Tamandua tetradactyla: one gene and its partners. The protein of the gene in region 1 interacts with the protein of each later gene in a pairwise test. Links are inferred from orthologs where the notes say so. Each region holds a gene or a part of one and is shown in the gene's direction. Other genes may lie near its edges.

What was found.
Region 2: the proteins of CEP70 (region 1) and ZNF227 interact in binary tests that used the Homo sapiens proteins (3 or more experiments, as listed by UniProt). The two-hybrid records come from large-scale screens. The link is inferred for Tamandua tetradactyla from reciprocal best matches to the Homo sapiens genes CEP70 and ZNF227.
Region 3: the proteins of CEP70 (region 1) and PSMA1 interact in binary tests that used the Homo sapiens proteins (3 or more experiments, as listed by UniProt). The two-hybrid records come from large-scale screens. The link is inferred for Tamandua tetradactyla from reciprocal best matches to the Homo sapiens genes CEP70 and PSMA1.
Region 4: the proteins of CEP70 (region 1) and TAF1D interact in binary tests that used the Homo sapiens proteins (3 or more experiments, as listed by UniProt). The link is inferred for Tamandua tetradactyla from reciprocal best matches to the Homo sapiens genes CEP70 and TAF1D.

The regions. Positions count from the first base shown.
Region 1 is NC_135341.1:82,637,429-82,644,338, reverse strand, and holds the start of CEP70 (centrosomal protein of 70 kDa), read left to right. Parts: upstream 1-3,901; 5' UTR 3,902-3,982; intron 3,983-5,896; exon of another isoform or gene 5,897-6,006; intron 6,007-6,910.
Region 2 is NC_135342.1:20,216,963-20,224,521, reverse strand, and holds the start of ZNF227 (zinc finger protein 227), read left to right. Parts: upstream 1-4,542; 5' UTR 4,543-4,658; intron 4,659-7,559. UniProt on the Homo sapiens protein: May be involved in transcriptional regulation.
Region 3 is NC_135334.1:89,910,907-89,918,877, reverse strand, and holds the start of PSMA1 (proteasome subunit alpha type-1), read left to right. Parts: upstream 1-4,970; 5' UTR 4,971-5,098; coding exon 5,099-5,101; intron 5,102-6,484; coding exon 6,485-6,529; intron 6,530-6,794; coding exon 6,795-6,896; intron 6,897-7,014; coding exon 7,015-7,118; intron 7,119-7,971. UniProt on the Homo sapiens protein: Component of the 20S core proteasome complex involved in the proteolytic degradation of most intracellular proteins. This complex plays numerous essential roles within the cell by associating with different regulatory particles.
Region 4 is NC_135334.1:49,333,378-49,340,433, forward strand, and holds the start of TAF1D (TATA box-binding protein-associated factor RNA polymerase I subunit D), read left to right. Parts: upstream 1-4,049; 5' UTR 4,050-4,149; exon of another isoform or gene 4,150-4,231; intron 4,232-5,607; exon of another isoform or gene 5,608-5,629; 5' UTR 5,630-5,647; coding exon 5,648-5,697; intron 5,698-6,294; coding exon 6,295-6,670; intron 6,671-7,056. UniProt on the Homo sapiens protein: Component of the transcription factor SL1/TIF-IB complex, which is involved in the assembly of the PIC (preinitiation complex) during RNA polymerase I-dependent transcription.

The DNA.
Region 1 (6,910 bases):
AATTAATGTAAATTTTGATAAGGCATCCTTTGTAAATCAAAGTAGGCTTGGAGATATCATTCAAGTTTTCCTCTACAACTTTCAAAGACACTAGAAAGTTCAGTGATGCGGCATACAAACCTAAAAGAATTGCCCAGCTTTCCACTATAAGACACTTCAAATATTACTAAATCACACTAAGATATGGCATGGTACCATCCTAATTATAATAACTTTTCATATAGATGTATAAAAGATAACATGCAATCAAATTGGAAGTAAGATTAGAAATCAAGAACACATTTTTAAAAAAAGTTTTCCCTAAACTATCAACATATTGAAGTTATTTATCTAAAAGATAGTAATTTTTCATTTTCCAATAATTGCTAGTGGACACTATAGGTGAGAACTACATGCAATGGTCAGAGGAAAGGTTGGTGGAATCCAACGCTGCTTAGAATACTGTATATATCAAAAGCAATGTTCTTCTTACACACACATTCACAGGAAAATTACACAATTATGTTACTCTCCTTGCTTGTTTTTCTATAGACCCATTTAAATAAGAAAAGGTTGCTTTAATGTAGCCAGTAATATTTCAATTTTTCTTGTTCATGTTATCTGCTATTTTAAGAAAAAGACTAAAATATTTTCATAATTATTCCTGAGAACCTTAATAGCATATTTGGCTTATAAAAGGCAGCAGTCATGGGCAAGCAGTGGTGGCTCAGTGGCAGGGTTCTCGCCTGCCATGCCGGAGACCTGGGTTTGATTCCCGGTACCAGCCCATGCAAAAAAAAAAAATCACTAAAAGGCAGCAATGCTCCAAATTTTGTACCATTTCAAGGGCAGAGATTGGCTGAAAAAAAGTGATTTCTATACAAGGATTAAAGTGAGCACTATTTTACAACAGCCACAATCAAAATATTAGTTACACAATTTTCAGCTTTACAAGAAAAAAAAAAAAAAACTCTATGAGATCATCTACTCCCAGCCCGCTCCCTCATTATGGGAAAATCAAAGTAATAAGACATCCCTCCAAATGTCACCCCCAACCACAGAGACCTAGCTTTTACTATTTATCCAGCTCCCTAACAAGGCTGTTGAGGTCCCAATAATGTGTATGGAGCAAAAAAAATGTCCACATAATCTCACCATAAAGAATATCCGAATATCCCCTACCAATAAATTTCATTAATTGTATGGGGAAAATGTACAAAATGAACTCTGCCTTTTGCTTTTGGTCTTCTCTCTTATTGCAGAAGTTTTGCTGGTTTTGTGACCTCTGTCACTTCACATATTTCATTTCAAACTGTATATATATCCTCTAAAATACTGAGCACTTTTAAATTTACTTGGAATTGCTCCACTGGATCATAAGTAGGGGAGCCCATGTACAACACATTCTTAATAGCCATAAAGGTAAATGATTAAAAGACTGATGTGTTTTTTGGCTACTCAAATGAGGGGGAAAATTAAAAATCATTGGTCAGCATCAAATGCATATAAAAGAATGCGGTGAGTCTTTTAGTGAAACTTGAGATAAAATTGAGATTTAGGCTAAAGGTCTGAAACAAAGTAAATGTGAATAATATGAATATGAATAATTATTCCAAAACCTCAACAGGCACTAAAGCACAGAGATCAATATTTACTTAGATTTTAAAATACTTTGAGCCATCTACTGAGTTTTCATTTTTGAGAGTGTCTTCAGAAAAAAAGGTACCTTAAATCCTCTATAACTGGCAACTTCTCTGGATGGCCTGCATGAATCAATACATGAATAACTATCTACCTGAGCAAAATATAATCCACTCATTCAAAAATAGTTACTAAATGCCTACTTAGTGTCCTGAAAGCACTGCAAAGCCAACCAACCACACCCTTTAAAAAACGGTTTTGTATGATTTGAAGGAGCAGCTATGCTCTGCCTATTTACTCAAGGGAGGTGTACTTTCACAACCAGTTTCCTTACAGTAAATATCCAGTATTCAGTTTTTCCCAGTCAACAAACATTTATTTGAGCCCACTATTAAAAAACACTATACTAGGTGCTGTCAGTGATTTGAAAATAAGCCTCTGTCCCTAACGAATGTATTCGCTTCAATTAGTTTTCAGTCACCACAAGGACCAGATGCCCTGCCCTGAAGTTTGCTGAATGTGATTATTATACCTATAGGGAAGGGATGATCACAACTCTCCTTGTCCTTGATTTCTACTATAGTCATATGAATATTGAGAAATACCTATTAAAAGTTGCACAAAGAGTTGTGAGTTACAAATCCGATTTAAAAGCACAGGTCATATTTTAAATTCATCCAGCATAGTGATAGTTATTGGACATTTATGTCCTAGGCACGGAGCTCAGAGGAAACAGACGCAGGCTCTGGGAAACCAACGGAGGATCACAAGAAGGAGCCTACAGAAGGTTCTATTCCAGCCAAACCTGCAGGACAGCCAGGGTAGGCTTTGGTTTAAAACTAGGGGAAATGGATTAATCCACTATCATTTTTTAGCTCGTATTCATATGCTTAATTTTCAGGTATGTGACCAAATAGGAAAATTATAAACCACAATTTCCCCCTCTATTTTAGGAAACAGATTTAAAAACATATATGAAGAGGATGGAAAAACAAATTGCTTTCACTGATGGGGAAGATGTTACTTGAAACTTTTCATATGTCTTCAAAGAAAGCTTTTTCAATGTCTACTTACCCATCTGCATAATTTTAAAAAATCCCTTTCCTGCATAACCCAATACCCCTGTTTTGGAGCAGCATTTCAACCACTGAGCCGTTTCCACTGCTTATCCACCCTACCCTGAATTTTACCTTGACTTAGGTTTAACTGTACTGGGGCTGCAGTGGTTTGTCCAAGATAAACCTAAGGCAGTTAAAAAAAAAAGTCACTGATAAAAATGTTCAGTTCCCTTTTCAGGAACAGCTCCGGGTAAGGCCAGTTAGTCACGAGGGGATGCTCAGTGATTTTTCATTCTGAGAAAACTAAGGCCCTCCAACCAAGCCGGCCGCAAGCTCCTTGGACCAGGTATTCCCAAATGCTACCAGATGTGCAGATCCGGGAATATTTTTTTCTTAGGGCCATTTTGCAATGTACGCCTTAAGATTTATGACGGAGTCATTCTAAATAAATAATCATGCTATAAATTAAACAAAAAGCAGGGAACAGTGCTCAACGAACTGCTTTTCTTTTCCTTTTTTTTAATAGCTGAAAATGGAAAAACACCTGTTCGTTCACCCTCAGCGACTCCATTAGGGAGGCCGCGGGCCAGTCCCTCCACAAACCCGACGGCCCCGGGCGGGCCGCGGCGTCCAGCTGGCCCCCACGAGCGCCCAGCAGCACCCCCGTGAAAGGGTGCGGAGAGCAGTCACACCAGGGTGGCCGTGCGCCATGCAGCGGTGAGAGAAGCCACCCAGGTTCTGCAAGAACAAACTGCTCAGCTGACGGGGAAAACGCGCTGCAAGGAAAAGCCCCTTAAGGTCTACCGCGTCGCCGCGGGGAAGCAGGAGTTCCGCCGCGGAGCTTGTCCCCTGAGCTGTCCGCTCCACTCTTTCACGGCGACAAGCATCAAAGTCTGAGCTAAGAGGCCAGAGGCTGGGCCGGCCCCGGGCAGGGCCACTCGGGCAGGGCCGGCCTCGCCGCGCCTCCGCCCCCAGGGAGCGGGCAGCCGGGGGCGCCCGGGGCCTCGGCGGGGCTGACCCAGGGCGCCCGGACACTCCACGCGGCCCGCGCCTCTCCGGCAGGGGCTCGCCGGCCCCCGCGTGGACGACGCCTGCTGCTCCGGGATACCCGCCCGCCGCCGGGCCCTGGCCGCCGCCGCAGCGGACCCGCCCGGGTCTGGGGCCCGCTCCCCGCCCGGCTCACCTGACGCCGTGGGCTGCGCCGAGCACCGCGGTGGGTCCGACAGCGCCGCTTGGGCCGCGCGGCCTCCTCCCTCGCCGAGCACTAGACGCAGCGCGCGCCCAGGCCGAAAGCTCGGCGGACGGTGAGTCCCAAAGGCGCCGACCGTTTGTCGCGCTCCAGGTCCCCCGGGACGCGCAGCGCAGACCGCCCCCTCCGCCCCGCGCGACCGCCCGCGCCCCCACCCCCGGCTTCGCCCTCCCGGCACAGGCCCTTCTCCAGTCCCCAACCCAAACAGGGCCCGGGTCCGCAGCGAATCCAGTCGGCCTGCCAACAGGTAGTGCAGGAGCCAGCCGTGTGCCAGGCCTGAGCGGGACCCTGGGCTGCCTCTGGGGCAAAACAGACCCGCCAGGGCTGTCAGGTTTCCCTTTAAGGCAGGGAAACCCGATCCTGGATGGAATTCGCTCCTTAAAACCTTTTTATGGACCCCTGTTGTTTCTTCAGTTTAAAAGCCGAAACTACTTAAGGTGGACTTGTGCGAGCTAGCTCATGCCCACGTGGCTTCTAAAGATCCTCAAAAGCTGCTCCATCCTTGTCACCCCAGGGTCTCCGCAGCTGCTCTTCACTCTGCCGGGACGCTCCTCCCCGTCTCTTTCCCCGCTTAACTTCCATTTTGTTGCGATTCCTCTAAAGATGTAATTTCTTAAGAAAATCTATCCCAGCCCCTAAAACTTGCAGTACTTGGAATTCTTCCTAGTCCCTTTCAGGGTATACCTGTTTGTGTAATTTCTGCTTAATGTGTGACTTAATGATAGACAGTGGCGTCGATGAGGATAGAGAGCATGGCTGCTTGGCTCTCACACGTGGTTGCCCCCACCTGCACAGGGGAGGGTCATGGTAGGCTCTGCTAAATACTTGCTGCATGAATGAACAGCAGGCCTGGGTGAGGTTTTAGGTGGCCCTGATTTTCATTTTAATAAGGAGACAGTGTCACTTGTAGAGGGTGAGGAGAGTTGTTGAGTGGGCCACCAGAAAGGAGCAGTGGAGATTTGGAGTGGGCCCTGTGGAGAGTGGGTCCAGCATGCGACTGGACATGCATGAAGGGATTCTGAAGGTCCAGCCATCTGGGGGGCTTGTGGTCGCAGGGCCCCATTGTAAGTTCTCACAGCCTGAGGTTAATGGAGAGGATTGTTTCACCTTTGGGACTGTCATGGTGGATGTGGTTTATATAGGTGCCAAGCAAATAGGTGAGAGAAGGGGGAGTTGAGTGACAGGAGGGATCCACCAATTGGTTCGATTAGCCAGTTTGCAAAGTAATGACTAAATTCTTAAGCAAATTTTTATAGGGATTCTACTTGGCCAGCGCTGATTTCTCCTTTGCTACCCTGTATTAATGACTGAGGACTAAAACTTTTCATATTTGTATTTTCTCTTTGAATAGAGAATTTTCAAGAAATGATTGTTTAAAGAATGAATTGGGGGGAAAGATAAAAAGATCACAGAGTGGAAATTTCCAGAGATGGATCAAGGCTGCCGAAGACATATTTCTAATTTCTCTTTTCCTAATCATTAACTCTTCTGAGAAACAACCCTGAGTCGTTGGGCTAAGACTAGGAAACCCTGGTCACTGACCAGCTCAGATATTGTTTAATGAAGGGTCATATTTTCTTATAAAACCTGAGGAATCTGGGTATCTTTTTTTGGGATGGGGGTGGGACCGTATGGTCCGGGATTTGAACCAGGGTCTCCCACCTGGAAGGCAAGCATTTTACAGCTGAACCACCCATGCACCCCATGAATCTGGGTGTCTTTTATAAGACCTATAGGTGCATTAAGCGCTTGATATATGTGCCTTGTATATCATTGTTTCTAATTTTCACAACAGCCCTCTAATATGTTTACCCCCATTTTACAGAGCACCCCCAAAGCCCTTCACAAGTTTCAGGACCAGGCCTATGGGATTTGAAAAGTTCAGGTTTACAGGGCCTGTTATTAGTTAAGTATTTATTGCACTGGAAGAAAAATACTAGTCTGTGGAGTGCAGGAGAGTTCAGCTTACCTGTGTAGGTGCACCTGAGTCTGCACCAACAGTCAGAAAGGCAGGCTGTGAGTCCTCAGCGGGTTTGTTTTGTGCCACTGTTTCCTCTTTGGGTTTGGTTTCTGGGATACCTGGAATTGGAGGAACATACCACTTTTGGCTGAGTTTTCCCCTACTCATTCTCTGGGCTGAGGACATCTGAATTAGGAACAGTCACTGGCTACCTGTCACAACTGTAATGGAAAGAAAGCCTGAACAAAACCACTGTGAAAGTTTTGAACTTGAATAAGAAATTTATTCATTTAGGCTAATCCTGCATTTGACTTTATTCTTACTCTCTGATTGTGCTTTTTTGTTCCCCAGGAAGATGCTACTCGAACCTCATACATGGTGCCCCCCCAGCTTGCCCTTAGGACACCGCTAATTTAAGAGGGCAGCTGAAAAAACACTTTCACTCACAGTTGCCCTTGTTTTCACTGGGCCTCCTTTTGTAAAAGAAATGGTTAATGCAGTGACAGATTTTCTGAACTAACTTCTCAGCATTAATGGATACCCCCCCAAAAAGAAAAGTTGCATACATCTTTACCTATAAATTTTTCCATGGGCCCTTCCAGTCCTGGTCCAGCATAACTACTGGGCATGTGTTAAAGGAGGAGGATCAGTGCTTTAGAAACCAACCCAGGACCCAGATATTCTGGCTGCTGGGCCAGCCTCAGAGGGTCGCGTGTCAGAACCAGCGCCAGAAACTGTGGTCTCCTGCTGCTGGCCGGGCTGCTGCTGCTCAGACATCGTCCTGAGTACAGGGAGTCCCTGCTCAGTCTACACAAACAGAAAGTAAAGCAGCAGCACAGCCAGGCCTCAATGTGGAGCTTCAGACACGAAAACCTGGACAACACCAGGAGAGACCAGATTTTGATCTGTTATCTTGAAAGTGGGATTTGTAAGGAGGACAATTCAGACTCATGTTCCAATTGAACAAAACTATTTTTTTAAATCGTCTTTATTTTATTCTGAGAAACATTAAAGATACCAAAA
Region 2 (7,559 bases), on another chromosome or scaffold:
TCCCCAGGGGAGGGGTGAAGCCCCACCCAGGTGGAATCCCTCCATCAAGGAATTCAGACACCACGGCTTGGTAATTTGAAGCCATTAAAACCAGCCTATAACCTCTTCTCTGTCTCCACCACACCCCCAGCAGGGAGAGTCTGCCAAAGTTAAAGGTACTGCATCATCTTATGCTGGTGGGACCTGCAGTCAGACAAGCATCACATACTGGGCAGGATAAGAAAAGCAGAGACTCTTCCAGAGACTTCACAGGAAAGTCCTTCAAACTACTGGGTCTCACCCTCAGGGAAAACCGATGCAGGTGACTCTTTCCTCCTGATAGGAGGCCAGTTTGGTCTGGGAAAATCTGGCTGGGTTTATAATATCGAAGTAGACCCTCCTAAGTGTGGCTGGGGTGGCGGTGGGGGGGTGAAGGCACCATACAAGCAGGGCAAGAAACAAGAAATAAGAAAAGAACTGAAAAATTCTCCTGTTAAACAAAACCTAAGCTGAAGGTCCAGAAAAAGCTGAACTGAATGTCAAAGAACAGATGGACAACAAATTATCCAGCAAGAAAACCCTAGGTAAAAGAAGTGAAAGCAATCTCCAGAATAAACTAATTAAGGTAATTAAATGCCTATACGCCAGCAAAAAATAACAAATCACACTAGGAAAATTGAAGATATGGCCCAGTCAAAGGAACAAACCAACAATTCAAATGACATACAGGAGCTGAAACAATTAATTCAGAATATACAAACAGGCATGGAAAACCTCATCAAAAACCAAATCAATGAATTGAGGGAAGATATAAAGAAGGCAAGGAAGGAACAAAAAGAGAAACTGAAAATCTGAAAAAACAAATCACAGAACTTATGGGAATGAAAGACACAGTAGAAGAGATGAAAAAAACAATGGAAACCTATAATGGTAGATTTCGAGAGACAGAACATAGGATTTCTGAACTGGAGGATGGAACATCTGAAATCTGACAAGAAACAGAGACTATAGGGGAAAAAATGGGAAAATATGAGCAGGGGCTCAGGGAATTGAAAGACAATATGAAGCTCATGAATATACGTGTTGTGGGTGTCCCAGAAGGAGAAGAGAAGGGAAAAGGAGGAGAAAAACTAATGGAGGAAATTATCACTGAAAATTTCCCAACTCTTATGAAAGACTTAAAATTACAGATCCAGGAAATGCAGCATACCCCAAAGAGAATAGATCCAAATAGACATACTCCAAGACATTAAATAATCAGAATGTCAGAGGTCAAAGAGAAGAGAGGATCTTGAAAGCAGCAAGAGAAAAGCAATCCGTCACATACAAGGGAAGCCCAATCAGACTACGAGCAGATCTCTCAGCAGAAACCATGGAGGTGAGAAGACAGTGGGATAATATATTTAAATTATTAAAAGAGAAAAACTGCCAACCAAGAATTCTATATCCAGCAAAATTGTCCTTCAAAAATGAGGGAGAAATTAAAACATTTTCAGACAAAAAATCACTGAGAGAATTTGTGACCAAGAGACCATCTCTGCAAGAAATACTAAAGGGAACACTAGAGACAAATACGAAGACAGAAGAGAGAGGTGTGGAGAAGAGTGTAGAAAGGAAGACTATGAGTAAAGGTAAAAAGAAGGAAAATTAGATATGACATATAAAATCCAGAAGGCAAAATAGTAGAAGAAAGTACTATGGTACTTAATATTTTAAAATTTCAACTAAGGTGTGAGACTAAAGCAAAAAATGTTTATTTGGTACAAATCTACACTTTGACTAGTGCACCTCCTAATATAACTTATGTAGATATTGATTGAACACCTTAAGTACATGGAACTTTGTATAGGACATGAGATTTTGTTGGTTTGTCCAGGTGATGCCCTGATGAATCCCAGAGTGATTTGATCAATGAGTGGAAAAGTATTTGCAAAGTCCCCTTCGGGGAATGGTGAGAACGGGGGAAAACTCAACTCCCCCAAGTTGAATTCTTGATATTCTCACAAGCAGTGTGGACAACCAAAGCTATAGGCTGAGTCCCCAGTCTTGGGGTTTGTTCATATGAAACAACCCCACAGGGGATAGGTCAAGCCTACTTAAAATTAAACCTAAGAGTCACCCCCAAGAGAACCTCTTTTGTTGCTCAGATGTGGCCTCTCTCTCCAGCCAACACAGCAAGCAGACTCACCACCCTCCCCCTGTCTACGTGGGACATGACTACCAGGGGTGTGGATCTTCCTGATAGTGTGGGACAGAAATCCCAGAATGAGCTGAGATTCAGCATCAAGGGATTGAGAAAACCTTCTCGACCAAAAGGGGGAAGAGTGAAATGAGGCAAAGTGTCAATGGCTGAGAGATTCCAAACAGAGTCGAGAGGTTATCCTGGAGGTTATTCTTATGCATTAAGTAGATATCACCTTGTTATCCAAGATGTAATGGAGAGGCCGGAGGGAACTGCCTGAAAATGTAGAGCTGTGTTCCAGTAGCCATGTTTCTTGCTGATGATTGTATAATGATATAGCTTTCACAATGTGACTGTGTGATTCTGAAAACCTTGTGTCTGATGCTCCTGTTATCTACCTTGTCAACAGATGAGAGGAACACATGGAATAAAAATAAATAATAGGTGGAAAATGTTAAAATGAATTTAGTTTGAAATGCTAGTGATCAATGAAAGGGATCAGTAAGGGGTATGGCATGTAAATTTTTTTTTCTGTTTGTTGTATTTTTCTGTTGTCTTTTTATTTCTTTTTCTGAATTGATGCTAATGTTCTGAGAAATGATCATGATGATGAATATGCAACTACGTGATGATATTATGAATTGCTGAGTGTATGTGTTGGGAATGTTTGTGTTTCTTGTAATTTTTATAAATTAATAAAAATTTTTTAAAAATTACTATATGGCCCAGCAATCCTGCCACTAGGTATATACCCGAAGAACTGAAAGCAAGGACTTGAACAGATATTTACATACCGAATTTCATAGCAGCATTATTCATAATTGCCAAAAGATGGAAACAACCCAAGTGTCCATCAGGTGATGAATGGATAAATAAAATGTATGTACATACAATGCAATATTATTCAGCTATAAAAAGAATGAAGTCCTGATGCATGTGACAACATGGATGAACCCTTGAGGGCATTATGCTGAGTGAAATAAGCCAGACACAATGGACAAATATTGTATGATATTACTCTTATGAACTAATTATAATAAGCAAATTCATAGAACTAGAATCTAGGATATGGTTACCAGGGGGCTGATTGGTAGTAGAGAATTGGGAGAAAATGCTTAATTTGTACAGAATTTGTATTCAGATTGATTGTAAAGGTTTGGAAATGGATGGTGGTGATAGTAACATATAATTGCGAGCATAATTAACAGCACTGAATTATTTAGATGAATGTAGTTAAAACGGGAAACTTAGGTTGAATATGTCACTAGAATAAAAACAAAGATAAAACATAGGACTGTATAACATGGTGAACCTACTATAGATGATGGGTTATGTAGTTAATAGTACACATATAAGAATGTTCTTTCATAAATTATAACAAATGTACAACACCAAGACAAGGTGTTAACAATAAAGTGGTTTATAGGAAAAATACACATAATGTAAACTGTGGACAATATTTAATAGTACTGTTTAATAAATCTTTCATGAATTGTAAAAAAAAACTCTATAGCAGGTTTTAAAAAAATAAATAATAGGAGGAACAAATGTTAAAATAAATTGAGTAGATTGAAATACTAGTGATCAATGAAAGGGAGTGGTAAGAGGTATAGAAAAAAATAGGGGAAACAAAGATTAAAATATATGGGTAGGGCCACGGTGGCTCAGCAGGCAGAGTTCAGTAGTTCTGTCATGCTGGAGACCTGGGTTCACTTCCTGGTGCCTGCCCATGCAAAAAAAAAAAATATATATATATATATATATATATATATATATATATATATATATATATATATATATGTTGGGTAGATGGAAATACTAGTGGTCAATGAGAAGGAGGGGTAAGGGGTATGGTATGTATGAGTTTTTTCTTTTTTCTTTTTATTTCTTTTTCTGGAGTGATGCAAATGTTCTAAGAAATTATTATGGTGATGAATATACAAGTATGTGATCATATCCTGAGCCATTGATTGTATACTTTTGATGGGCTGTATGTTTGTGAAGATATCTCAATAAAAATATTTTTTGAAATAAAAAAAAGATATACAAATAGCCAATAATCACTGTAAGAGAGGCTCAAGGGCAGGCCATGGTGGCTCAGCAGGCAGGAATGCTTGCCTGCGATGCCAGAGGACCCGGGTTCGATTCCTGGTGCCTGCCCGTGTAAAAAAAAAAAAAGAGAGGATCATTGCTCATCAGGGAAATGCAAATCAAACCCAAATTATTGTACCATTCATTGGATATAATTTTAAATATATAATCACAGCCACCAAATTGGATATAATTTAAAAGACATATTAACAAGCATTGGCAATGTAGTGGAGAAATTGGAACCCATATATACTATTGGTGGGAATGGAAAATGGTGAAGATGCTTTATAAAATAGTCTGGCAGTTCCCAAAAGGTTAAATATAGAGTTACCACATGACCTTGCTTTTCATTCCTAGATATCTAATGAAGAGAAATTAAATCATACGCCCACACTAAGAATTGCAGGTAAATGCTCATAGCAGTGTTATACATAATGGCCCCCAAATGGAAACACTGGAAATGTCCAATTACTGATGAATGGATAAATAAAATCGGGTATATCCATATGAAAGAATGCTCTTCAGAAATCTACAGAAAGTAGATTAGTAGTAGCCTAGAACAGAGGAGTTTGGAGGAAAATTGAGAGTGAGTGTCAACGGGAATGTATTTCTTTTGCAGTGATGAAAATGTTTTAGACTTCATTGTAGTGAAGGTTGCAAAACTCTGAATATGCTAACGTTAACTTAATTGTACCCTTTAAATGGATAAATTGTATGGTATGTGAATTTTATCTTAATAAAGCTATTATAAATTACATGCCAAATAGAAGATATTTGAAACAAACTTACAAGATATAAATAATTAGAATACCTAATGCAAATATACAAGAAAAAGATAGTATCCACAATAAGAAAATGGAGAAAGGTAGAAAGATGGAGAAACATTGCTAGTTTACTAAAGAGACTACCAAATATTTGAGGAAATGCTCAAATTTATTAAAATTTAGAAAGATTTAGTTCAACAGTGAGATGCCACTATACACTTAATCATATGGTAAAATTTAGGATGATTGATCATGCCAAATGATAGTGTGGAAATGGTTATATAAAAAACTTCATGCAGTGCTTATGGTAATGTGGGAGGGCAATCTGGCTATTATTTGTAAGTGTAAGTATATGAATATGTGATTTATGAACCAACAGCTGCACTCCAGGACATGTGTACTAATAAAATTCTCATAAGGTACATGGAGATGTATAAAGATGTTCCTTGCTATGTTATTGGTAATCTGGGTATCTGTCATGAGAGAGAAGATAGACAAATTTTGTGGATGAAGAAAATGCATTCTATAAAAATAGAATTTAATAATAGACTAGAAACATGGATCTTAAAAACATTCTTCTGAATGAGGAAACTAGAAACAATTTCATTTTACGACAAAATTTATAAAAAGAATATGTGCAAAGAAAACCACACCACACACAGTTTGCACAAGAACACACACAAAAAGAAACACATCCAACTAATTAAAATGATTTGCCTATGAGGTAGCGGTGGGAGTGGGACTATTCCATAGGGCAAATAAATAAATAATATATTCATTTTTTCATATTTTATTACATTTAATCCAGAATTTCATTTCAATTGTAGTGGAATAAAAGTGACGATGGGCTAAAAGTAAAAACAAATCTTGGCCAATCACAAAGGAAAGAAGAATAAATAAAAGATGCAAAGATTGAAAAAGAAGAAATAAAACTCATTATTTACAGATGACATGACTGTGTATTTAGAAAATCTAAAAGAGTTTACAGATACGTTAGTAGAATGGATACATGATCCCCTAACATTACTAAATGTTTTTATCCAGTTGATGGATAAGAACAAGTTCCAGAACAATTTAGTTAGAATTGCTGATTGTTCTAGTTTGCTAGCTGCTGGCATGCAACACACAAGAGACAGATTGGCTTTTAATAAAAGGGGATTTATTTATTAGTTCTTCAGAGGAAAGGCAGCTAACTTTCAACTGAGGTTCTTTCTTATGTGGGAAGACACAGGGTGATCTTTGCTGGCCTTCTCTCCAGGCCTCTGGATTCCAACAACTTTCTCCGGGGTGATTTCTTTCTGCCTCTCCAAAGGCCTGGGTTGAGCTGCAAGTACTGAGATGAGGTATGCTGAGCTGTTTGGGCTGTGCTACGTTGTGTTCTCTCATTTAAGCACCAGCCGATTAAGTCAAACATCATTTATTTTAGGAGGCACACCTCCTAGCTGACTGCAGATCTGATCAGCAATAGATGAGGTTCACATACCATTGGCTCATGTCCACCAGCAATAGAACTAGGTGCCTTCACCTGGCAAAGTTGACAACTGAATCTAACTACCACAGTGATATTCAGCATTCTCTCCATTCTCAGATGTAAAATTTTCAATATTCCATCACTAAATATTATGTGTAAGTTCACTGTAGTTTTAAGTTGAATTTTTTCTATGAATTTATATCCATTTCCCCCTATATTTTCAATTTTTAAATAATGCTCATCATAATGTTCTCTTAAAGTTTTAATGATGTTCCTTTTTTCCTGAAATTGGTAATACATCATTTTGGTCTTTTTTCTTGATCATGCTCACATGATTTTATCAATTTTATTATTTTAGTCTAATTGTTTTAGAATAATCTTTTGGATTTGATTTAATCCACTCTATTTTGTTTGTTTTCTATTTCATTAATTTTCTCATCTTGATCATATTCTTCAACTTACCCACTGTTCTAGTTTGCTAGCTGCTGGAATGCAATATACCAGAGATGATGGAATGGCTTTTTTAAAGGGGAATTTAATAAGTTGCTAGTTTACAGTTCTAAGGCTGAGAAAATGTCCCAATTAAAATAAGTGTATAGAAATGTCCAATCAAAGGCATCCAGAGAAAGATACCTTGGTTCAAGAAGGCCGATGACATTCAGGATTTCTCTCTCAAGTGAGAAGGCACATGGCAAACATAGCCAGGGTTTCTCTCTCAGCTGGAAGGGCACATGGTGGACATGGTGTCATCTGCTAGCTTTCTCTCCTGGCTTCCTGTTTCATGAAGCTCCCCAGGAGGTGTTTTCCTTCTGCATCTCCAAAGTTCTCTGGCTGGTAGATTCCGCTTCTCGTGGGTATGTCGTTCTCTGCTCTCTCAGAGATCTCCCATTCTCCAAAATGTTTCCTCTTTTATAGGATTCCAGTAAACCAATCAAGACCCACTCAAATGGGTAGAGAAACATCTCCCCTAATCCAGCTTATCACTCTTGATTAGGTTACATCTCCAGGAAATGATCTAATTACAGATTCAAACATACAGTATTAATAGGGATTATTCTGCCTTTGAAACATG
Region 3 (7,971 bases), on another chromosome or scaffold:
TGATTCTAGAAAAGCTTGACATGAGTTACCTATGGCCTTTCAATGAACGAATTAGAGCTATTTTTGCTGGCTCAGTTTCCTACAAAATATCTTTATTGATCAATTTTTCAGCTCCTAGTTAAGGATCAAGATGTATCCTGAGCCAAATCCCTAAAATATGCATAGAGGAATTGAAAGCCATATAAAACTTTAGTTAAGTAACTAGGACCTTCAGCTTTGACAAAAAGATCAACCAAATACCCTCCAGTTATCTACAAGTAGAGCTTTCATAAAAGACACTCTGAAGACTCAGCCAATCACTATGAATGAAGGTAGTATCACAAAGCCCCAGATATGTGCTTAGGAAATAATCAAAAGGACAGGTTTTAGAATCAGAGATTTATTTATTCATTAAACAAGTATTTATTGAGTGTGTACTATATGACACGCTTTGTTCCAGGCATTAGGAAGACCTTAGCCAGTAAAAAACAGTAAAAATCCCTATCTTTGGATGTTTATGTAATTCCCTATTATATGTTTACAATTTTACCCTTCCCCCAACTTTACTTAGGCCAGCTTCAGTTTCTTTTTTTTTTTCTTTGTATACAACAGTCTCCTTCTATAAAAGTAACACAGTAACCTAATGGCAGAAAGTACAAACAAATCAATGAGGAAAATCATTAACACATCTGTGTTAGTTTGTTAAGTTGACAGAATGCAATATGCTAATGTCTTCCAAAAACAAGAATTTAATAAGCTACAAGTTTACATTCTAGTGCAGAGAAAATGTCCAAACTAAGGCATCCAGGGAAAGAAACCTTAATTCAATGAAGGCCAATGGGTCTGGAATACCTCTGTCAGCTGGGAAGGCAGGTAGCTGGTATCTGCTGGTTCCCTGCTCCTGGACTCTGGTGCTTTCAATCTCTGTTTCCTGAGGGGGTTCCTGATCCATTATCTGTGGGCTTTCACTTAGCTCCTCCAGGACACAACTCTGGGTTCTGGCCTGCTCAGCATTTCATGGGAAGGCATGTGATGCTGCCCCCCGAGCTCCATGTCACTAGGCTTCATGTCCACCGGGCCACACGTCTGCCAGCCCCCCATCTCCAAATGTCCAGGTCTCACATCAGCTCTGTCAGCTCTGAAACAACTGCCCTCCAAGCGTCTGCATCAGCTCTGCTCTAAGCTCTCTCCAAAATGTTTCCTCTTTTAAAGGACTCCAGTAAACTAATCAAGATCCACCTGGAATGGGTGGGGTCAGATCACCACCCACAATTAGCATGTCAGATCTCCCTGGAGATAATCTAATCAGAAGTTTCCACCCTGCACTTTTGAATCAGGATTAAAAGAAACCTTGCCTCCCTTTGCTGGGGCACATAATACTTTCAAATCAGCACAACGTCAATAAAAACTTGAGAAGAAAAATGAAGTGGCAATTCACTCAAGTAATACAAATAGCCAAGAATTATGAAAGGATTTTTTACTAGTAAGCAAAAAAAAAGAAAATTAAAAGAAGAGGGTGCCACCCCCATCAATTTGATATAGGCAAAAATCCAATACCAAATGTTGATAAGGATATAAAGAAAGTAGACTTTGAAGCACTGTAGAAAATAAATGTATATTCTTCCATTTAGCCACATTTACCATAATTGTAAATGTAGGTTACCTTTGACCTGCAATTCTATGCCTATAAATTCATCATAAGGAGATAATCCGGAAAGTAAACAAAATAAGCAAATGTACAAGAAGAGTCATTATAGCTTTTTTTAGAGTAGCAAATTTTGTAAATAACCTAATTACTCACCAATAAGCTATTATTATGTTTCCACACAGTGAATACTATGCATCTATTAAAAATAATATAATTACTTAACGAAATTAAAAGATGGCCCAAACTTTTAAAATGTATTAGTATAAAACAATTTAGAGTGATCTTATTTGTAAAAAAAAAAAGTATATTTATTATATATGTGTGTGTGAGGCATGTATATACATATGGAAAAGAATTGCAAAAATGTTTCTGTACTGAATGGCAATTGTAAAATGAGCAGTCAGTGTTGGTGATTTTATAACGAACCTCAGGATGCATGGTTGGGTTCAGAGATAGAATGCTTGCCTGGCATGCTGGGAGACCACGTTCAATTTCCAGTCCACGCAGGGAAAAAGAAAAACGATGGCAATCTCATCCACTACTGTTGAGAATATGAATTAATAAAATATTCCTTGAGGGCAATTTGGCTCTATTTATAAAAAGCCTTTAAAATGTGCATTTCATTTTATTCTGTGATTTCATGTTTAGGAATTTATTCTAAAGAAAAGAGTATGAATGCTGATAATACACATATTTATATAAATATATTTATATACGTATAAAACAGCTTATAGATGAGATGCCTGGGAGGTGGGGGATAAAAAAACCTTAATATTCAACAATAGAGATTTTTTTATCATACATCTTTCTTTTCATTAAAAAAAAAATGACATTAAAGTTTGAGAGGTTTGGGTTTGGTCCTTGTGTGGTCGCCAATGCTAAGGGGATGGCAGAACTGAGTCCCCAGAAATGTAAAAGCATCATTTTAAAGTTAGTAGCAATCACAATGTCAAGTTTGAAGGCCGAAGTCAAATCATGGGAATATCCACAGACATGTGGGAGGGTACAGGCTCCAGCTCTGGGGGATCAACAAGAATGGAAATTCCTTGGAGAAGATAAATGAACAAAACAGGAACTGGCACCAAAACGGTCTGATGAGAGAAGCTCACCAGGAGGATAGGGATCCTCCTCTTTCCTGCTACTCCTTAAGGGGGGAGGAAGGTGACCCCAACAAGATAGCAGCTACTTAGATACCACATTGCTCCAAGGCTGGTCAAATGGCAATGCCAGAGGACGGAATTCCAGCTATAAATGGGGACAAACTTTTCCAATTTCTGCACAGCTTGTTTCTCGATTCCAGTACTTCCTCATGATTATCCTTCTCTAAGCTTTCATAATTCATGATGACCGTGTTCATGGTGAAAGAGAAGCCAAAAATTCAAAGTCCATAGTGCCATGCAACTATAACTTCTGGTACATCAGGTCCCAGTGTCTGCAGCAGATGAGACTCTGCAATGGTCTCAAAGTTGGGGCCCCCTACCATCACAAAGGGGCCTTCCTGTAGCTCTCGCTGCTCCCCCACCCCATTTGTTTCCAAGCACAGTTAGCCTTCTGACTCAGATTGCGATCATAAGCATCAGACAATGCAGGAAAATGATGGCCAGACCTTTCATCATTGGGGGCTCTGAAAGGGTTTTGGCCAGAGAAAACAGACATGTTGATATGGTCACAGATCAGCATGATATCTTCAACCTCGAACTTAAGAGTTGAGCCCTCCAGTTGCATTGGTGATTACTAGGGATTCTCACCCATAAGTCAGAAAACCCACACTCGGAATGTTACTTTCCAGAGCAGGCAACCTTCATGAAAGTGGAATCTGTCCTGCATCACCACACAGGATTAGTCATTCAGGAACCCAAATACCCATTGTCCAACAGGAATTGGTACTCTATTTTGAGAGAAGTTGTGTATCTCAGTGTAGTCAAAGTTCTGGGCCTGAGTTACTTTATGAACCAGACCTCCTAACACAGAACCACAGATCTCAGCCACTTAAGGCCAGTGCTTTCTGTGGAATAGAAGCCATTCTGTAGTGTTCTGATAATCTCCATATGTGAATTCTTTCTCCATGGTCCTGCCTGCGCCTTCTTGATGAGCCAGCTGTATTCCATTTTGCTAAACTGCAGTCGCTGGGTGTGGTTGACACTAGTCAACAATAAGGATTTGAGTAAATAAAATATCATATGTTTATAATGCATAATATTAGGTAATTATGTTTACCATGGAAAATGTTTAACATGGAAAAAGATTCACAATAAATAAGTGGAAAAAGTTTTAAAACTATGTTCCTTTTTGTCACAAGCTGGTAAAAGATAATAAATACATGTACAAAAGAATTAAAAGCAAAATCTGAAACAACTTCAACAAGATATTCATAGTAATTATCTCTGAGTCAGCTGTTTTCATTTTCCTTTAAATTCTCTACAATGATCATGTTTCATGTTTGAAATAAGAAAAAAGTCATTTAGAAGTATACTGAAATCCTTAACAGCAGGTAAGCTTAAAAAAAAAGAAAAAGGTAAACTTAAAAAAAAAAAGAAAAAGGGACATTTGAAAGCAGCTAAATGAAAAGACCCTCCGTTTAAAAAACGACAGACCTTTTAGAGAAGAAAGAGCACTGGACCAAGGTTCCCACACTAAATTGCTGGGAACCTAAGAGTCATCGTTAAGTGATCTGAATCTGTGACTTCATCTGCAAAGTTCAGATTGGACTTAAGGTCTCTTTCACCTCTTACCTTTCCTGAGTCTAGGTATTAGCCTTTATTCTGTATAAAGAAAATAAGTCACTATTAGCAGTGGGCAGATATTAGGTTGGCGGTTGTCTGCGGAGCTATTCACTTAAGGATTTATCAAAAGATGCTTTCAAAAGAGAAAATTTGTAAATGTGGAGAAAAATATGTTTTTTTCAGCAGCCTGTTCTACCAGGCATGGTGCTTGATTTTGAGGGCAGAGAATTACATGAAAAAGAAATACAAGAGCACCCTCACGGAATGTCAGTCTGGTGGGGGAAACAATTATAATAAAGAGTGATAAATGACAACAGCCTTCAAAGATGACTATCCATCTTTGGGAAGAGTATTTCAACATAGAGGGTTAAGCATGTACACTCGAGAAAGGCTATGGCTGACACACGCAAACGGTTACAGCACAGATAACTTCAGGCGGATCGGAGAAAGTCAACGTGGTAAGCGTCTGCCCGGCTGCTCTTAGGCGCCGGAGGCACTATTGGCCAGGTTTCCGGCCAATCTCAGTTCCTTGATCAATTTAAGTCCCGCCCATCCCTGAGAGACCTGACAGCTTTGAAGTCCCGGATGTGGTGAAGGTCTATCGATGCCTCTGGAATAGACTGCCCTGCCCTGCGTTGCCGCGGTCAAATTCTCGCAGACTTCTCTGTCGACCGCCGAGCGGTAGTTTCGGCGTCGCGCCTCGATCGGGAGCTTTTCAGGAGGCCGCAGCCGGTCCCGCGCAGGAACGATGGTGCGTTTAGTCTCCAGCTCTAGCAGGATTGGGTTTGAGGTCCGGTGGCTTGGGAGATGTCGAACCGTCTTTCCTGTCATCTTCAGAGCGGACCGGGGCCATGGGGCATGGGAGCCTGAGCCGACGCGAGGGCCCGGGCAGTGATTCAGCATCTCCGGCCAGGCCGGTCGAGAGTCGGTCCGCTGCGGCCTTTTCCCCGGGACTTATTTCGCTTCCCAGTGGTCTGGGACAGTTCCTTACTCTATCAGCTAGCCCAGTCTTCCCTTCAGCGTCTTTCAGTGAAGTAAATCCCGAACGGTCCAGTATGGCTTCTCGTGTTCTGTGTGGGAGAGATGAGGAGAAAATAGGGTCTTGGAGGCCCCCCAGTACCCCCAGTGAGAACTTGACTCAGAGTTTGGGTTCCTGAACGGCGCCGATTTTCCTTGTGGACCAGGAAATGATCATTAATGATGAATGAATGATTTATCATATCCCTATGATTTATAATTATTCTCATCCCTAGGGCTTAATCAGAAAAGGCCCTTTTCAATCACTTTGTCCAGTAAACTAGTTTTAGAGATGGGAAACCAAGAGTGAGAGCCGGAGTGCTAGAATGAGGGTTACATGATAGGGCTCTGGGCTTCCAGTTGTGTGTTTGCCTTTCCGGCAGCACTCAATCCTTTCATCCCAGTGATTGTTCTCTCCAGTACTATGCTTCTAGACTTGTTTTAATACCATCATTATAATAGTAATGGTTCTGTTGCTGTAATTACTTGTGTCCACCTCTAACTTCCTGAGGACATTTTTGTGTTTGTTGATTAATATTTATGTGTTTACACATACAAACACTGTTTTACATGTAGTGGGAGTTCAAAGAGAAGTCGGACATGCCCCTATTCATAATAGAAAAAAGAAAGGAAGTGTATATAAAGAACTATGGGAGCGTGTGCTGAGATTTTTGGAGAGACGGAGAATTCAAGATTAAAATATTTGAGCTGATTTAAGGAAGAAGTAGGGGTTGGGGGGATTTATTAGAGCCCAGGGTAAATGAATGCATAAGCAAAAACATAAAGGAAAGTTGACAGTTATGAACTTTGGTATTCAACCTAAAAATATATGCTGTGGAGAGTGGTACAATAGGAATTTGGGAAAGTAAGTTCTGTCCAGCTCTGCCTACACTCCTCTTCTTTCCCCATCCCCAACCCACCTCCTCCTCATAAATGTTTGTGGGATTGTCTTGCAACTGAACACAGTAGTGATCTTATATAAGGTTACGTTAATAGACTTGGGTTAATGTTGAATGCAGAGGATTCAAGAACATTTATTTCTTAATGATAGCACATTTTAAGAATTGAGATTTGTAATGTTCTTATATTAATAGCTCTTTTTTTCCTTCACTTTCAGTTTCGCAACCAGTATGACAATGATGTCACTGTTTGGAGCCCTCAGGTAGAATAATAGATTTTATACCATTTCTATGACGTGACTTTTGGTGGCTGCAATATGTTTAGAGATTCATAAGATTGGATACTGTAAGAAAATGGAATATAATCATTTCAGACATCCTGGAACTTTTATTTATCATTAAATTTCCTGGTTTTAAAAAAATTATTTGAGGTTTAACTATGCTTGCCTGAGTTTTGAGAGCTCTAAATTAGGTTTTACTTTATAAATGTGTCTTCTGAGATGTGAGGTTTTTTTTTCCACTCTTTAGGGCAGGATTCATCAAATTGAATATGCAATGGAAGCTGTCAAGCAAGGGTCAGCTACAGTTGGTCTGAAATCAAAAACCCATGCAGTGTTGGTTGCATTGAAGGTAAGTAAACAGCAAATCTGTCTTCTCCTTTGAAAAACATAGCTACGAAATGTAAAGTCCACTGTATACACGGTAAAGTTGTAAACTTGTCTTTATGTCTTATAATGTTTTTATTTAGAGGGCACAATCAGAGCTTGCAGCCCATCAAAAAAAAATTCTCCATGTTGACAACCATATTGGTATCTCAATTGCGGGGCTTACTGCTGATGCTAGACTGCTATGGTGAGTATGGTTATTTAAAAAAAAAAAAAGAAACACTCCCTTTAGATTTATAATTGATTATTCTCTGTTTCTAGAAAAGATCCAAATAAAGTGTTGTAGGAAGTTGTTTGCTAAAAGGTGTATAAAGATTGTAAATGCCTTAGTGCTTGGGCTGATTTACTAAGTATTCAGTTTCTCCATCCCTGTAGTAGTAACTAATAGAATTAGCCATATTAATAATATGCTTTTGAGAAGTCATTGAATGAAGTAATGCTTGTTAAATCAGTGTATATTAATTTTAATATTTTAATAATGCTATGTTTAAGACAAGCTTGAAATTTTTCTCTAGTTTCCAAGAATGAACTGAACCACCCTTGGTTTCTTCCATATATCAATTTTTATTAGACTTTTATTATTTGCAAAACTTAATAATCAAACAAGGATCTTGTTCTCAAGAAGCTTAAAATCTAACTTAACTCTACATAATAAGTATAATGTCTATGATACAATGTGCAAAGTGGTGAGTTTTGTAAAAGTAACAGATAAATTTCCACTAGAGTCCATAGGAGCTAGAGATTTTTTTTCTAATTGAGAAGCAATATATAAATGAAGAGCTGGAGTCTCTGTAAATCATGTAGCTTTTTACTCAGTATTTTCTTTCTCAAGATTATTTTTAAACAGCCTAACTTGTAGAGCACTTAACATAGTGCCTTTCAAGTAGTATGTGAACATGTGTATGTTGGGGGTGGTGGTGAGATTTAGCTAAACTAAACTCATGTCCATGATTAATTAAGAAAGTAATTTAAAGGCAAAATAGTAATGCTGATGTTTAAAATTTTCAAGTTATCCAGCCAGACCCTTGCTCTAAGTCATC
Region 4 (7,056 bases), on another chromosome or scaffold:
TGATTTCCCCCTCAGCTTGTTCCTTACTAGTGTATAGAAATGCTACAGATTTTTGAATGTTGATCTTGTAACCTGCTACTTTGCTGTACTCATTTATTAGCTCTAGTAGTTTTGTTGTGGATTTTTCCGGGTTTTCGACGTATAGTATCATATCGTCTGCAAACAGTTCTTCTCCCATTCTTAAGTTGCTAATTAAAACTCACAGGTAACTTTCTTCTTGGCATGTACTTTGGTCTGGGTTTTTGTTGGGCTGGAACACTAGTTTCGATGATTATTTTAGACAATACATTCCCTACAAATAAGCATCCATTTGGGACTTGACATTTACTTTAATACTGTGTCAAACACCAGCTTTCATTGTCCATTAATAATTTAATATGCACAATCTGATATCCCAAACAAAATATTAATTCTAGATAATGGGCCCCAAGTCTTTACATATTCTTAATCAATACCTTAAACATATTTTTGAACTGAATAATCTACAATCATTTAGGAATGGGGCATTTTAACTTTTTACTGTGAAATTGGATTGGTAGAAACACATACAAAAAATTCCTACATATTCTTACCCTGATTTTCTACAGGTTAACATTTTATCACATTTCCTCTATCAGGCAACCAGGCAAGTACTATCATTAACTACGAACATGTCAAAACCTGCACAATGATTACAGCTGGGTTTGATAATTATCTTACATATTATATTCATTTAAAAGGATAATGAAAGCACTTCAGATATTTCTGCTTGCAGCAGGCATGAAGACTCAAGTTAAAATTAAAATCTAATTCTAACTGCATGCCCTTCACCATCTCTTCAAAAGGGTTGGGTTTTTTGTTACCAAAACGGACACGAAGTCCACTCCACAAGACTACAGCCTCAATGATTAGTTTTACCTGTGGAGAAATCACAACCTGCGCTGCAAGGCAACACAGGCCTTTATTTAGGGTCTTAGAATTGCAATTAGGGAAGAACAGATTCAGGTTGCAACCCAAATTGTGTCTTGGGTCTTCCAGGCAAGGGTTTATAGAAAAAGATCACACAAGTTGTTTGTGTCTGGTGGGTATTAGGGACCCTCCAAATGTCCTTTAGGTTTGATAGTTAACTGAGTTCATTATCTTGTGATTTGTTTATGGTGTTTTTAGGGTTTTGAGGAACACTGTTGCATGAACCATTGCACAATTTGACAGTTTTTAATACCTGGCTGAGATTTGCTGAAAAGTAACTGCCAGAATAACCTCCTGACTCCATTTTAAATCTCTTAGTCATAGTAATTCTATTTTGTTTTCTTTCTTTTTGCAGATTAAAAATGTAGAACTTGGGCGGGCCGCGGTGGCTCAGCGGGCAAAGTGCTTGCCTGCTATGCCGGAGGACCTCGGTTCGATTCCCGGCCCCAGCCCATGTAACAAAAACGGAGAAACAGAATACAATAAAACAAGAAAATGTTTAAAGATGTTTCCCTTTCTTCCTTCCTTCTATCCTTCCTTCCTTCTCTCTGTCTTTCCTTTAAAAAAAAAAAAAAAAAAAAAAAAAAAATGTAGAACTTCTAGCAGGTAAAGTTAGCAGAGAAGGCAGTGTGGTTGTGTGCATATGTGTATGTGTGATGGAGTGATAAGAGAGAGGGAATTAGAAAGGTTCTAAAATAAAGATAAACTCAGAAAAGACTCCAGGAGCACAGTCCTGGGCTAGCTATTGACAAATATTCTCCGGATTTGATTCTATTGGGAATTAATGTCCCAGAAAGAGGGCCTGGAGAAGGAAGGAGTTGAAATAGAAGGCAGCTAAGTAAGTGGCGGTGCAGAGAGAACACCTCAATGGGGCATACCAACTAAACCAACCAAGCTGATTAACAATGATGAAATGCACACTTCACAGACATTCTCTCAAAACCTCTCACACTTTGGCAGATAAAAGGCAGGAATAGAATTCAAAACTAGATCTAACTCACGGTAAACCAGAATTCATCATACTATACTATGCTGACAGTAAAGGAATACGATATGGACACATTTCAGTTCAAAATAAGGAAGAATTTGTATAGAGTGATTCTACAGCACTCAGATCAAAATATGATCATCTACTTGCTTTCTGTCTCTTCCCCCTAGTCTATGATCTCTTTGAAGAAAGGACTATGTCTTTCATATCAATATTCCAAATAGCAAATGGGCACTAGTTTTTCTTTTTTTATTTTTTCTTTACATGGGCAGGCACTGGGAATCGAACCCAGGTCCTATGGCATAGCAGGCAAGCATTCTTGCCTGCTGAGCCACCATGGTCCGCCTGATGGGCACTAGTTTAGCATCATTTATTGGACATCTATGATGTAGCAGACCCATGGAACTCCCAGACAGGGACAGCTCCAAGAATGGAGTGCAATTGGTGCAGACACTAAGTCACTCAGAAGGGCACTTGGCTTAATGTTCTATTGTCACTGTCTTGAAACTTCTGTGTTAAAAATGAAGTATCATGAGACAACAAAGTATGCACAGAAATAGAGGAGAAAGGTGCAATATGCCTGGCCATCACCATTCCATGGCACCTCATTTGCATATAGATTTGTTATGCTCCATTAGCACATAATTCTGGTGGATCCACAAGGGAGGGAGTTTAAGACTTAAATTTACTAGCTTCCAGAGTTTTGATATACTATTCACATTTCAAGTAGTTAAGTAAAAATAGTTGAGTTAGTTTCGTGCAGTGTTTCCATTGTTCTTATAAGAACTAAAAACATATAACTTATATGAACTACAAAATACTAATTATGCAATTTCAGTGATTCTGCATGAGTTAAATGTTTTTATATTTGTACGTGGAACTGGCATTGAACAATATAAGCATGAATGATAAAATTCATGTTAATAATTTACATTTTAAATTTTTACTTAGTTTGGCATTAAATACAAATAAAACCTACCATGACAAGTAAAGAAACAAAGTACAGAAGAAGTTAAACACTTAAATTTTAGCACCTATAATGGCACTCTTCCCCCTGCTTTTTGAACAAGAGATCCTGCATTTTCATTTTGCATTGGCCTCACAAACTATATAGCCTGGCCTGCTCCTGTATATGATGGTAAGAAACGATACCTGTCCTGAAGATTTCATTATTCTACTGACTCTCTGGTGCTGCCTACAGGATCAGATTTTTTAATCCCTGGAGTTAATAGTTGGAGCAAAATTTGGTACCGACCAAATTATCTTCAAGGTCTCTTCCAATCCTGAGATGACTGACTAAAAACCACGACTAGATAGCCTCACTGGTTTATCATGTGATACAAAATGCCAGAAAGTGGAAAACGCAACCTGGCTCACAATTTTTTTTTCCTAGCTCATCCTTTTTTAATTGACTTTTATCTTAAACACCCTTCAGGGAACTACGGGGGTGGGGGACTCAGAAAAAATAATAAAACCCACAGCTAGTATCTCTTGCATGTCACCCAACTACTGGGAGGCACCCTCAGCTTAAGAGTTACAAAAACAAGGAATCCAAGTCCAATGGTTTAGCGCTTTTTTCCTCCCTCCCTCTTGGAGAGAGGGGAAGCGGGTGTAGTTAGTACAAAGGTTACTTGTTTTGAACCACGGTCAAAGCACGATCCTTTTCCAATATTTTAACACAGAACACAATCTGTACGACTAAAATTGCCAAAAAGGGATGCTTCACACTGAACGCAAACCCAAGTTCATCTGCTAACCTAGAATTCCCACACACGAAAGACAGACACACACATATCAATCCAGCACCCGGTTTTAGGAAGATAGACGACAACTCAGGAAATGCGACACCACCGAAAACAAATTGAGCTCAGAGGCTTTTTCCTCGCAATTAACATACATTTTGCTCCCTTGATCACATAATTTCCGTCATTCGCCGAGATGTTCTTGACTATTACACTTACCGATCTCAACCAGCTGAGTAAAGCTTTATGTTCCCTCAGGAAACTCCTTCCCCTTCACGTAAGTAAACTCCGGCTCCGCCTACTTTTAAATCCCTCCTCCTTTCCCTGCGATCCAATTGGCGCTGGGTGTCCTTATCTCCTCCCACCTCTCCCTTTTTTCCCTGGTGTTAAGTTGTACTCGCGAGATTTCGGCCCAACTATTAGCTAGGTCGCAAGCTAGCGTTCTCCCTTTCTCCGTTCCTGTTGCGAGAGGTAACGTTGTTGTTTAGTAGAGTGCTAGGGCGGGAGAATAATCAAGTCAGTCGGCGACTTCTGTCCCCGAGGCCCGGTTGCCAAGCTGAAAAAGTAGAGAAGAGAACATGGCTGTTCCGGGCTGGCGGTCGAGGAGGGTGGCTAGTCTATTTCTCCCTGGATCATAGCGTTGATTGGGGTGGAGCGAGCTTCGCAAGTTAGGCCCAGAGGGTGCAAGGTTCCCCCGGGCCTAGCTCGGCGGCCCTATAAATAAATGCGTGTTGGCGTGTATTGCGTTGTATCGGGGATGTAATTATTAGGATGTATTCTAGACAAGTACTTTGTGATTTAATAGGAATAAGTGCGAGGTAACGATTCTTGGCGCCATTTTCCTTCCACGAGGTTAGGAGTTCCCTAAGAGACCTCTCCCAGGGTCGCAGATAGTAAGTGAAGAAGTATTACGTTTGATCCTGTTTAGTGCTCTGTCTTGCTCTTACAAATCGCATAGTCCAACAACGGGATTATAACATAATCCAACAATGGTACCTAGCTGGAATGTTTCCAGTTTCTGCGAATTATTTTTGAGTGCACGCACTTCATTTTGATAATCTTTTAAATTTAATCCCAGGTGTGCCGTCGGGGCAGACTTTTATGTTTTGAGCAGTTGATACCCTATGATTTATTAACGATCTCAGAGTTTTACGTTCTTTTAAAAAGTGTAATAAACATTTTTAAATTACCCTAGAGGCTATGAGCACATATATTTGAAACATTTTGCTCCTTTTAGTATCCTCGAACTTATCGATACTCTTGGCGTTTCCCAAGAATGCTAGAGAGTAAAAAACTGCATAACTGGAAAAAAAGGCGTCGCTTATAACGGTGATGCAGTAGTGAAGATGGGTCTTTACGTCTGTTTTTTACGTTGTACAATGTTAAAGGGAAATTTTAAAAAGATGAATATCATCCTAGTCATTGCAAAGGAAAAGGTTTCACGGTTGCTTAGATGAGTTAATGTTAATTTGAAGAGACCGTAGATGAAATCCCAGACAAGGGTTTAAGATGTTCCATTGGATTCGGATGGTAAATGTTGATATCTGTTTTCATGGTATACTGGGTCCTCAGGTATACTAATCGTCTACTTTTGTATATGAAAGTGAATTTTTCTGATCTTGGAAAATGACCAGTAGTTATATGGTACTGTATTGGTATTTGTATGTTACTGTATAGTTCCTGGTAAAAGTACAGCATTTATTGGTAGTTGGAAAGCTAACGGTACTTCTGTTGGAAATGACATTACTTTCTGGATGGAATGGATCTTGTACCATTGCATAGATTTGAAAAAGCACAACCAGGAGAATGGAGCTTGTGAATGCAGTTTCTGAATTTTAGAATTTGATTTGAAATGGATAGCTTCTAAATAAGCTTATGCTTGGTAAATCAAGTGACTTTTTTTCCTAATTCACAGTTGATGTAACTTGAGAACTTAATACTCTCCATTTAGATATTTGCTGTATCAGTGATGGATTCTCTCGACTACAAAACAGCTGCTGTAGAAACTGAAGATCAAAGGTAAGTGTAAAAAACAGTTGACAGTTACTAGAAAGTTTTCAGCAATAGATTCGTAAGTTTATATAGTAAAATACCTTCTTAACACCTTGACTCCATGTTTTATATCAAGCAAATAGATATCAGGGTGGAGTGTCGCTTGAAAATATTCCACAAAGAAAGGATGCTGGCATAACTATACATACAAGATAATTTCAGGGTACTTCACAGAATTGCCATTGAAATGGCATTTCTAATAGACTGCCAAATATTTTTCGAAGCCTTAATGGAGTTTATATTTCAAATGGAGGATAATAAGCAGTTTAAGTGTTTTGGGACGTTTTAGGTAGGGCGAATAGGATTCACTGGCTAGCATTCTGCTAATTCCTACCGCTTCCATTTATTTTTTAAAAACTTATTGTGGGGTGGTGTGATGGTGGTTCAGTGCTAGAATTCTCAGCTGCCACGCCAGAGACCCGTGTTCAATTCCTGGTGCCTGCCCATGAGAAAAAAAACCTTACTGTGAACATGTTCCCTACTTTAGTCTTTGGAAGGATACCTATTTGAAATTATTAGTAGTAAGCAGTCAGTGAGAATGTAATTTTTTCTCCCTTTTTCTAGTGATAGCTCATCGTCTGGTAGCAGTTTATTTAAAACTCAGTGTATTCCTTCATTACCTAAGCAGAGGCAAGGAAACCCTGTTAGGAAATTTTATTTTCAAGAAAATGTTCAAAATAGAGATTCATCAAGCGATTCCTCTTGGGAACCGATACCACGAACTTTAAAAGCTATTTTTGAAAGATTCAAGAAAAGGAAACGTAAAAGGAGGAAATATAAGCCAACAGGAAGACCTAAGGGAAGACCAAAAGGAAGAAGAAACACCAGAAGTTCACAAATAGGCAAAAAAGAATTGAAAGACAGAGGACCCTGGTTCTCGTTTTTACAATCAGAGAATGGAAGAAACCCATTACCTTGGAAGAAAATTCTAACCTTTGAGGTGAGTCATTCTCTTATATCAATGGAAATACAGGAAATTATTTGTTGACTCTGGAAGCTTCCCTTATCTTTTTTTTTGTTTTTTAGCTTCCCTTATCTTACAGTTATCTATGCTGAATCATTCTAGCAAACTCTCCAGAGTGATGCGCAGTTCCTGAGTTCTTTAAATACATCCTTAAAGCTCATATTACTACTCATTTTTGAAGCAATGAAATTCTAAACCACACATAGCTTAATGTTCCTGGCTTTTAGTAAATTTTTTTTAGAGGCTGGATGACAGAATTGGCTGGCACCCACCTGATACCTATCAGATTAAAATATTGATTGAGTGAATGTATAATTGTCTTCCTTGCTAGAATGCGATTTATTTCTAAGAATGAATAGCAT